Linked DNA regions of Drosophila melanogaster. The protein of the gene in region 2 purifies or fractionates together with the protein of the main gene of each other region. This does not show direct contact. Each region holds a gene or a part of one and is shown on either strand. Other genes may lie near its edges.

Region 1 (3,337 bases), on a different chromosome or scaffold from region 2:
GATACTATTGCGAATCAGATAAGCCTCCGCGCAAAAGAGAAAACATTTGTTTCGATTTTGTCAATTAACGTTATCTCTTACTGGAGTAATGATTTTTTTTTTTAATATTTTTGGATTCTAAAATTTGTGAGTGCAGTTCGGAAAACGGAGATTAATACATTTGTTACATTTTCAATGTACGATGTCGGTATTGCATAGTTTATAGTGTACTTTCGATTTTCGGTTTATTTCTCATTAAATAATTACAACTTAGGCGCTCCCCTCGATTATGTATCTTTTGTATAATATGAACGAAATACGCGTTGTCAAACGGGCCGTGGATCGCTCGCTTGTTTACTCTGACGTCGATTGATGATGTGTGCCGACAAAACACAAATGTCCCACATCTATGCACTTATCCATCATCCGCTTATGCCGGCAGCTGGAGCTTCTTGCCCTTAAGAACTTTGGTAATGTATAAGTAGAAGAAGTCGCAGTACAAGACGGTCTGGACAACTCCGGCGAAGATCGCGATAAGGTCGTAGTGCGACTCGACCATGTACCGGTAGACCCAGTTGAGCAAGTAGAGTGCACGGTACGATCCCAGGGCGAAGAGGTAGTGGCTGGTGATGGACTCGGCCTCGCCGGTTCTGCTCACTAGGAACAGCTGCGGCAGAATGGCCACCGATTCCAAATAGATCGAGAATGTCCACAGCACTTCCATCACGGTAAACTCATGATTGATCACCAGCGAGAGCAGGGCGCACGGCACCAGCAGGAATTCGATGCGGAACGAATCGTGATTGTGGTCATAGGTGGCCTTAAACTTCACGTACATCAAATACACGGTGGCACCGGACGTGGCCAGGAACAACACCTTCATCACCGAGTTGTACAGGCTCACGTAGGTGGTGAACAGATCCAGGTAGCGCGTCAGATAGACCACGGCGAACAGGATCTGCGACTTGCCCGATATTCCGGCGCACGAGCGGGTCTTCCATATCTTCAGCAGCAGTATTATGATGGCAAACACATGCGACAGATCCCCAGCAAAGCGAAAGATATTCATCGTGATCTAATCCGCCGACTTGGCTACTTGGCTGCCCGGTTGGCTGTTTGATTGTTCTACTTCCTTTCGCTGCGGCTGCGTCACGGAACGCACGCCTATATGAAAATGGGAGTGTATACTATAGCAATAATGGCGGCATTCAGTGTTTCAACAGCTGCATACGTTACCAAAATGACTTTTCGCCTAATTTGCCAACGAGTAGAGATGTGAGGGCTTTGCCGCTTCGGAAAAAAACTTGTCAGAATGTCGGCATAAACAATGACGTGGCTGATGAATAAGAATAAGTTTGATAACATGGCCACTGCCTATCGATATCGATAAGTGCCGCCACATGATTTTTTTAATGAAAATTCGACCATCTCTAACGAAAAAAATTGAGAAAAAACATACTGATTCAAATTTTTTCTTTTTTCGTTTTTTATCATAAGATTTAAAAAAAATTTAATTTTTTTCTCTTCTTTTGCTAGGGATAGTCGAATGTTTGTTTAAAAAATCATGTGGATTATCAATAAAAAATTTATATTCGATAGGCTCGATTGAAAGACACCAGAAAATGCTGACCGCCGCACACGCCACTCGATTTATTCTTCATGCCTATCGAAAAAAGCCGTGGTGAGGTTCCGGCATCTGTATTTTATTTACAAGCGATAGAATTAACATAGAAATCAAATAAAATGGTAAGTAAAAACACTGTTTTAAGCATCTGACTGCAATGGTTAAGTTTTGTTTAGTTGTATTAATTCATAGATTCTTACTTTCGCGGTTGCGATTTCGTATTTACATAGGCATACATACATACAAACATGCATGCGAATAAATAAAACAATTTGTTTTGGCTAATTAACTATTTTATATTTGTTTAAAATTATGATTTTTAGTGATCTTCGATATTACGCTGAGATTTGCTATTTCAAACTCTGTGGTTTATTAAAATTTTTATAAATACCGGCTTTTTTAAAGGGTCGAAATGGTTTACAAAAGATGGCGCGACTTTTATGCATGCTATTGTATTTCACAATTAAATCCTTTGAATTCCTTTATTTCAGACGATCGGCAAGAACAACAAAATGATTCAGCACCTGAATTATCGGGTGCGAATCGTGCTGCAGGACTCGCGTACCTTCATCGGTACCTTCAAAGCCTTCGACAAACACATGAACTTGATCCTCGGCGACTGCGAGGAGTTCCGGAAGATTCGCTCGAAGAATTCCAAGGTGCCCGAGCGCGAGGAGAAGCGCGTGCTGGGCTTTGTATTGCTGCGCGGCGAGAACATAGTTTCACTGACGGTGGAGGGACCACCGCCGCCAGAGGAGGGCCTGCCCCGAGTTCCCATTCCGGGAGCAGCTCCTGGTCCGGGAATCGGTCGCGTGGCCGGACGCGGAATGCCTATCAACTTGTCCGCCGTGCCAGCGGGTCTCCAGGGTCCCGTGAGAGGTGTGGGCGGACCCGCCCAACAGCACATGGCTCCGATGGGACGAGGAGTGCCACGAGCACCGATGATGGGTGCACCGCCACCGGGCATGATTCCCGGCGGCATGCCCTCGATGCCAGGAAACATGGGACGCGGTGCTCCGCCACCGATGCGCGGACCGCCGCCCAGCATGATCCGTGGAGCACCACCACCGGGCAGGGGTGGCTATTAAGTATAAAGTACAATCTAATAAAAACTCATTTAGAAAACACCACTTAATCGATGGATTCGTGTATTTATGTGTTGAATGTAAGCATACGTACATACAATGATTATTGCTTTACATCAATTATATGAGAACCTAAGCAGCAGGGACTGGATTTGGTCGTTGCCAGCCACATCGTTCGTTAATTGGGTGTTCCAGTTAAGACCGAAACGCCTCGTGAATGATTATACCTTTGGTACGTGCGTGTGCGTACAGGATGTTTTATGCCCAGATGTTGGAGAGATCCCAGATCTTGATGAGCCTGTCCTGGCCCACTGTCAACAGGCGCTTTCTGTCCTCGTCCAGGTCCATGTAGACGATCGAATGCTTGGCGTCATTGAATGAAGCCAGCGAGGGGCGCTCGACTGTCTGAAGTTGTTTGTAGCACGGATCACAGGTACGCACATCAAACTCGAAGCCCATTATGGGTATGTTAATGCGATTGGTGGAACAGTTGTCGCACACGGCTTTGCCGCAGTGGCGACAATGATGCTGTCGTATTCCTGACAGTCAGAAATTACTTGTAAAACAAAGAGTAACTCAAGTGTAAGCTATTTATCTCACCCAGCTGCTTTTGATCCATCATTGAGCGGAAGTTCCAGAAGAAGGGCCT
Region 2 (3,759 bases):
AGATACATTAACGAAACAATACAGATTAACGGTATCGATTACGACGGCACGGTTGACACGTTCCCTGAACAGACGGATTTTGATCTTCCCCCCATGCGAAAAGTAACTAGGAATACCACTATTACGGTACTAAGCCTAGAAAAACTGCACCTCGAAGCCACCCAAACAATGGATAAAATCCTGGCCGTCCATCACAATACTATACAGCACACCTGGACACTCTACACTCTGCTCGGATTGGTAACGTTCCTAGCAGTCATCTTATGGCTGCACCGACGAACGAAACACATCGTCCACATCCACGAGGATCATCACGTACCAATCTACGCGTCATCCATACCTTCGCTATGGCCGTCACTTCGAACTGGGGGGGGAGGAGTTACCACCCCACCCCCTAAACCCCCACGCCTCTAAACAAATCATCGGACACTCAACCGGGAAGACGGCAACTGGAACACCGCATCCGGCCGAATGCTGACATTCCGGCCGAATGCTGACATTACACAAAAGTCGCACTGCAACATTGTCCCCAGCTAGCCAGCCACATGCCGAGTCGGCATGTTCATTATGCTTACAATTAAGAACCTATGTACTTATGTATAAGACGAAAACGGAGGACTCGAGTAGCCACTCTCTGACAATAAACTTCATACTGATTTTGAACTTCAAGAAAGTCAGTCGTATTCTTTATTGGAAATCTTCACACTACAACTATCTGCTGAAACTTAAAAACCTTCATACATTTACACATCATATCTTCACAAAAGGCTCCACCCTCGATCACGGACTTAACTCCCGCCCTCGCTCCCCCTCGCACTCTTTCAATGTTTTCAAGGCGAATAATGCAAGAGCGCCCCAGCTAGACGTCTCGCTCTCGCACAGCTGTGTCTTGCTAGGGTGGAGAGAGGGAGAGAGGTGTTTTACTCTTACAGCTGAGCTGCCACGATTTGTTTGTATACAGAATGAGGCGCACACACACACGCGCACTTGCTGTTTTTCTTCTTTCGCTTTTAAAGCTCTTACTTCCTTTTTTTGATTCTAGTTTACAAGGGCTTATAGTTCAAGCCGCTGTAAATAATCCAAAAACTCACCTGGTACATGGCCGTCTTGGGCAAATCCAGGCAGACGGCACAGCACAGGGCATTGGAGATGCGGTGGGCCAGCTTTTCGTGCATTCCCGAGGCGGCTGCGGCACTGGAAAGCAAGCTGCTGCCGCTGCTGCTGGTGGCACCACCGCCCCCTCCGTCCAACAACTGTTTCTTGGCCGGCGGTTCTCCGCTGCCCTGCGTGTCCAGCGGCACGCCCACCACATTGCCGCCGCCCACCGACGAGGAGGACGACGATGTGGAAGAGGAAGAGGCCGAGGAGGCGGAGCTGGTCGTGGCCACCGCCTGGTTGTCGCCCAGGAGCGGTAGGTTCGAGGACGACGGCGGCTGTTGGACCGCCGAACTGGAGGATTCCACCGACATGATTGGAAATTTTCTTGGAATAATGTTTGTTGTGTTTTTCTTTGCCACTCGCTTCGTACACAAACTCCCACACACACGACCACTAAACTACTACACACACACAAGCAATACCCAGTTTGCTCTCTCTCTCTTTCGCTCGCACACTAAGTATGGCACTTTCTTTCAATTGCCACCTTTCCCCGCTGTCCGTGTCGTGTCGTTCTCTTCTGTGTTCTTCCGTTCTGTTCTGTTTGCAAGCTTTTTGTCCGCCGACACGTCCGCTCGCCAAAAAATTTGTTGTCTTTCTAGAGAGTGTTGTGCGGTGTGACCAAATCTTATATTAGGCAAAATACTAGTATAACGTATCGATGTTATTGGCAAAGCCTATCGATGTTTTTCTATTGTCTGTGTTTCTCCAGCCCTGGTTGATCGTTAGCAGGGACACCATCCCCTTTACAAAGTAATAAAATAACAAATATTATTAAATTAACCATTTCAAAATAAAATAGCATTAAAATAATATAGCAAAATCTGCCTTCATATATATAATTTTACAAGTATATTATTGAAAACGAATCCATTCGTGTTTAATGTGCTGCCCTTATATCCGGCAGTACGGAACTCGTCACTCGCGAGATGCGGTCACACTGCTTGCGGCAAACGGAAAACATGTAAGAAATTAAATATTGTGATTTTGTCTTTAAAATGTACAAAAGTTTGACAAAACACAAACGGCAGGTTCTTTATGAAGTCACCTCTCGCAAAGTGAACTATGACTGGTCAGTGGAGGTACGGAAAACGTGGATTAAAGAGCGAAAAATCGCAGTTTTCTCAGCAGACATTTTTGTATCACTTCGCTGTGCGCTGTGTGTTTGGCATTTTTTGTGTTTGTGTGTGTGTGTGCAACAGCGGCATCAATTTGAAAAATAACAAAAACAAATCGTTGGCGTGTTGAACAAAAAACTATACGTATTTGCTATCTGGCTTGCGTTATAAGAACCATTTGGACAAATTGCGTCTTAAAAATTTGGTGACCAAGATGGCTTCAATTTCATTTTCGGTGGTGAATTAAAAACTTTAATGAAAATAAAAACTTAATGAATTGACTTTTAATTCACGTGCAATTATTATGAAAATTTTTGAAAATTAAAATAAAAATATTTCCAAAAACGTTGTAACAAAACTACACTTATAAATTGGCTTTTGGCTTGCTTAGTGAACTTAGTTAATTATTTCCAGCTGTTCCCACTCAAAAAACAAATCGTATACATATGTGTTCTTATTTCCTTTGCTCCTGCTTTTTCTCTTCCCCTTCTTTTCGTTCCCTTCCCCTTTGCGTCCTCTTCCCCTTTTCCTAGCCAGCTGTTTGTCGCGTTCCACAAATATGGCTGGAGTGTGGATCGCGTTTGGAGCCCAGGCTCCCACATTTCTCTATGTGGAACGCAACCTGTGGCCAGCTGTTGGGTCCTGTTGAACTCCCCCCAGCCAAAAACTTACATATGTATATGTATTTATTTTGTGTATATATGCATGTGTGTATAACAACGCCAATTGCTAGGGTTTCTGCAAAACGTCCTGGCCACTTGAAGGTGAAGTGTTACAATACCATAAAGGGGTTTCGCCATTTTTAAAAGTTATTTTATTACATTATATTCAATAATGGAACTTCAGTAGCGTGTCAAAGGATTTCTCTTTGAAAGAATACGTATTTCATATCCAGCATTTATCAGCTGAAAAACATGAGGGACTTTATACAATCTGTTAAATTTCTTTGCATAAAATGATATATATGTTAATTAAAATTATTAACAATAGCTAAAGTCCATGTAACCCCTTGAGCGCGGATGTTTTCCCAACACTCCTCGAATGGAATCCACATCCACTTTGTTGCACACACAGCTGGCAGTTGTTGTTTTTATCCGACCTCCTGTGCACACACACACACAGACGGACGTACATGTATACAACACTCGGGGGTCGTTTGTGGACTCCATTTGGCTTGGCTGTTGGATCTTCTTTGCGTTTTCTTCATTCGTGCAGCGCCAATCGCGCGGTGTGTGTGTTGCGTTTTTCTTATTTGCAAAATCGTTGGAAAATGGTAATGAAAATGTATACAATATAGCAACAGCAGCTCCTTTCAAGGAAATATCCTCATTAAAGTAATTACGGTACTGAAAGCAATTCAAAAGCTAACAATGAAACAGGCAATTAACTACACAATATGTTGGCTTAGGTTCAGTGTGTATGTATTTTGGATGGTGTTAAATATAAAACTCTAAAAATATGAGTAACCAAGTGCGAAATGAAAAAA
Region 3 (3,759 bases), on a different chromosome or scaffold from region 2:
ATTTTACGTGGGGCGTGTCGTTTGAATAGAGACCTCAAATTGATATATCTACGAGGCTATTTTTCGTAGAAATCGCGTCTTAGCCCACCACCCTATGAGCGCTTCGGTGCGACTGTATATATTTGGGAGCTCCCACACATGATTAGATTTCCTTTCTGTACTGTGAAGGAGACAGTAATCCGTTACTACTCCATAATATCAAGGACACCATGTTATTGTTCAAATGTTTAAAAATGTTTAAAAATTCAAAATTCATGTTTATTTAAATATTTTTAACACCTACACCATATGCATATCATTCGATTTCTGGAGGCATACTAGTAATCTTATAATTCTAGTCCATGATCTAATATTATAGCACAATAAAGCTAAATTAAATAACTACTTCCATTCTTAATATATTTATCTTTTTTGTATCATGGCGACTTCAGCGTGCCGAACTTCACTATTTTCTTAACAAAATTAATAGTTCAGAAATTTAGCTTAAACCATAGAATTATATGGGGATTCAATCAACTCTAATCTGGATAACCGTCCCATTGTTACTTATGAGGTTCAAATTTAATATATATTTATTTGTCTTTATCTTGCACTTAATGGGAACCAACATCAGGCTTACATATTATGCACTCACCCTGTCGTTGTAACTGTGTTGAAGGCCTTTCCACGTTGGTTAACGACGTACTGTAGGAGATTATATGTATAAAGTTTAACTGCCTTAGAAGCCGTTTTCATCCTTGCCGAGATAACGAGAAGCCTCGCCTACTGCTCGCCATTCCTTCTCATACTCCTAACTTGGAGCAGGCTGAGATCCTGCTGTTGCAATGATATTTTTTCCCCCACACGCAGGAACGCTCAGAACGGGTGCAACTGACTTTAGGTCTCGTTACGAAGTCTGCGTTTTTGGTTTACATTTTGAAATGACCCTTACGCTAAATTAAAAGCATTATAAGCGATGCGTTAAGCGCCCGATCTGGGAACAGTGCCAAAATTTCAGATGTACTCACTGCCTCGAAACGTGGTAAAGATTAAGATCGCTCGAGCTTCGCTGTTATACGATTAAGGTATCCGAAAATCCTTCAGAACATGGGCATCAGCGTTATGGGCGTCATATCGTTTTCAGACAAATCACATGCACCATTGGCGATTTTCGTTTCCAATATCTGGGCGTTCATACGTACGAACAGACAGTTATACAAAAGACAAAAGGGGTGCGTATACATCGCAGCAAATTTTTGACACATACCCCTCACTTCATGACTTATGTAAAAAGACCAAAATAATCACAAACCAGGTATTCATTTTGGATCAAACCAGACAAACGTGGTTATGAAAACGGTTATGAAAATAATGTAACCATATTAAAATTTATATATATATATATAAATATATATATCCACTACTATATATATATATATATATATATATTTAAATATATACATTTGTATTTATATATTTATTCAAAATAAACTAATACATCGTTTACTTACACTTTACTATTTCTACTGTTATGTTATAATACTGAAAAACTTGAACTTGAAATGAAAATCGACTGCTTGTTAAATATAAAATTATTAACAATTCCGAAAGACTAAGTTTCAATACAAAGCTAACAACAAGGTAGGAATCTAGCTTTGGCAGTGATAATAATTAAATAATAATATTAAAGCAAGAATTCCCGTTACTCAACTTAAAGAAAAAAATCAACACATAGTTAGTGGTCGTGGAAACATCGTCTGCGTCTATATCTATAGAATCAGCATGCTTTAAGTTCTAGTTCTTATAGTTCCTGAAAGCGAGACGTTCTTACAGACAGACGGATTGGTTGATTTAAAGATTGACACTTATGCATTCTCTAAATCCCGGTGCTTGATGTTGCAATGTGAAGACAAGGGTGATGTATCTGTCAACTAGTAGTAGTGGAGCTAGTGTATAAGAAGCAAAAGTGGCAAGAATACCCCTGTGCTAAATTAAATTGGAAGCTTGACATATCGCAAGACGGCCACGCTGGCCTTGCTCTATCTTATGTTGGCGTTGGTATTTTAAGATATCTCGGTGGTACGTGTAAGTTGAATATTTTTACGAAATTCAATTTAAAAAATTTTTTTAGGATGTGCAGTTATAGTGGCTTGATTTTATTAAGATTACCAGAAGAATTAACTAAACAATCTTTAAAATAAAACACACCCGCCCAGTGTGATAAAGTCACACAAATCAAAAATTTGTACATACATCACTGTGTGTCTGTATGCGTCCAGATACTTACGAATTTTTTTTACCTTTTAGATCTATATTAGTTCTATTAGTTCTATATTTCAAACATGAAAGCTCGAATCAGACATTTCAATTCTATAAACATGTTAATTTTAATGTGTGATGAGGGTGCATGTGTATTTCGCGTTCGTGTGTGACAATCAGTTTGATATTTTAGGTTAGGTTTCTGTGTTGCTTTTATATTATATTATTTTACTTTTACTATCCATTCTGTAAAGCTCTGGTAAGTTTTTTTTTATCACTAGTTCTTAACTAAGCTTTAAAATAAATCCTTTGTTGTACTGTTTGCTTTGAAAAAGACTTGAAGCTGTTTGCTTTATTTATAGAACTTGAACTGTTTGAAAAATAAACAATTGTGCACAGAATCATAAAGCCATTAGGAGTTTAACAAAAACACTGAAAATTTGATTTCATTGCCTTTCTTACAAATAAATCAACCAAAAACTTTTTTGAACTTATTGTCAGCATAACATTAAACAAGAGGCAAATAAAAATGACAGATTCAATGAAATTTGGCCCGGAATGGTTGCGCAATATGTCAGCCGAGCCTTCGGGCTCTCCCAGTACCTACAACGTTGGTAATGCAGCTCAAAACAATTCGATTGGAGGGCACAACCTGGGAAACAACACGGCGGCATCCGCTTCCCGTAATCTATTTCCAGAATACCGGTACGGACGCGAGGAAATGCTGTCCTTGTTCGATCGGAACTGCCTACTGCCGCAGATCCTGCCATCGTTCAAAAAGCTCTTCGTGGAAAAGGTTCAGTGCCCTCTTGCACTGACACCGAGCTCCGAGGAGGACATCAACCAAAACTCACTTGGCAATAACGTATGTGAAGTAATTTGACATGAGTTTTAGAACATAATTTACTTTTCTTTGAAACTAGTCTCGTCCTGCCTGGTTGCAGCGCTCGCCCAGTGGATTTGGTAGTGCCTCCCGAGGCTCTGGACGTGGTGGAACCGTTGACCGGGGACGGATGCGCGGAAAATCGGCCTATCATCCGATATACCAACGCCCAAGCGGTCTATATGATGAAAGCTTATCGGTTATATCAAAGGTAATTGCAAATACGAACTAAATAAGGAAGTACGATTAGTTGTTGATTTTTTCTGCCAGGCCGAACGCACATGGAGCGACCGCAACGGAACTGGAGATTCTGCGGCAACCACCACCTCCACTAGTGGCTCTGGTGCTCTAGATTGGAATGGAACTCCAAGCTCAAGTCCTCGAAAAGATTATTCTAATAATCATCGCAACTTGGAAAACTGGCGACGAACACGTAACGAAGATGGATCCGGTGATGGTCCATCCTCCAGCGGTTCCATGAGCGGACCCGATATTGCTGGTTGGCGGAGCGGTGTCGTCGGTGGAAGTACAAACGCAGGTTTTGGTACCAATAGCCATCGGTGGGGTCAGTCAATTACCTTTATATTATTATTTTTCATTTTTACTCCTACACATATGAGCACAATAATACATGTACT

Evidence for each region.
Region 1: the proteins of PAN3 (region 2) and SmB purify together in Drosophila melanogaster (affinity purification with western blotting; one study listed by BioGRID). This does not show direct contact.
Region 3: the proteins of PAN3 (region 2) and Gyf purify together in Drosophila melanogaster (affinity purification with western blotting, with the first as the bait; one study listed by BioGRID). This does not show direct contact.

Annotation. Positions count from the first base shown.
Region 1 is NT_033779.5:10,424,882-10,428,218, reverse strand, and holds SmB (small ribonucleoprotein particle protein SmB), read left to right. Parts: upstream 1-1,591; 5' UTR 1,592-1,722; coding exon 1,723-1,725; intron 1,726-2,094; coding exon 2,095-2,691; 3' UTR 2,692-2,736; downstream 2,737-3,337. Other genes in the region: KdelR (KDEL receptor), read right to left, coding at 410-1,048; Wdfy2 (WD repeat and FYVE domain containing 2), read right to left, coding at 2,947-3,227, 3,289-3,337. UniProt on the Drosophila melanogaster protein: Plays a role in pre-mRNA splicing as a core component of the spliceosomal U1, U2, U4 and U5 small nuclear ribonucleoproteins (snRNPs), the building blocks of the spliceosome. Involved in germline establishment and development.
Region 2 is NT_037436.4:3,069,071-3,072,829, forward strand, and holds the start of PAN3 (Poly(A) specific ribonuclease subunit PAN3), read left to right. Parts: upstream 1-2,062; 5' UTR 2,063-2,237; intron 2,238-3,476; exon of another isoform or gene 3,477-3,690; intron 3,691-3,759. Other genes in the region: CG32486 (uncharacterized protein), read right to left, coding at 1,092-1,469. UniProt on the Drosophila melanogaster protein: Regulatory subunit of the poly(A)-nuclease (PAN) deadenylation complex, one of two cytoplasmic mRNA deadenylases involved in general and miRNA-mediated mRNA turnover.
Region 3 is NC_004353.4:865,275-869,033, reverse strand, and holds the start of Gyf (gigyf), read left to right. Parts: upstream 1-2,008; 5' UTR 2,009-2,058; exon of another isoform or gene 2,059-2,064; intron 2,065-2,739; 5' UTR 2,740-2,767; coding exon 2,768-3,103; intron 3,104-3,161; coding exon 3,162-3,332; intron 3,333-3,391; coding exon 3,392-3,686; intron 3,687-3,759.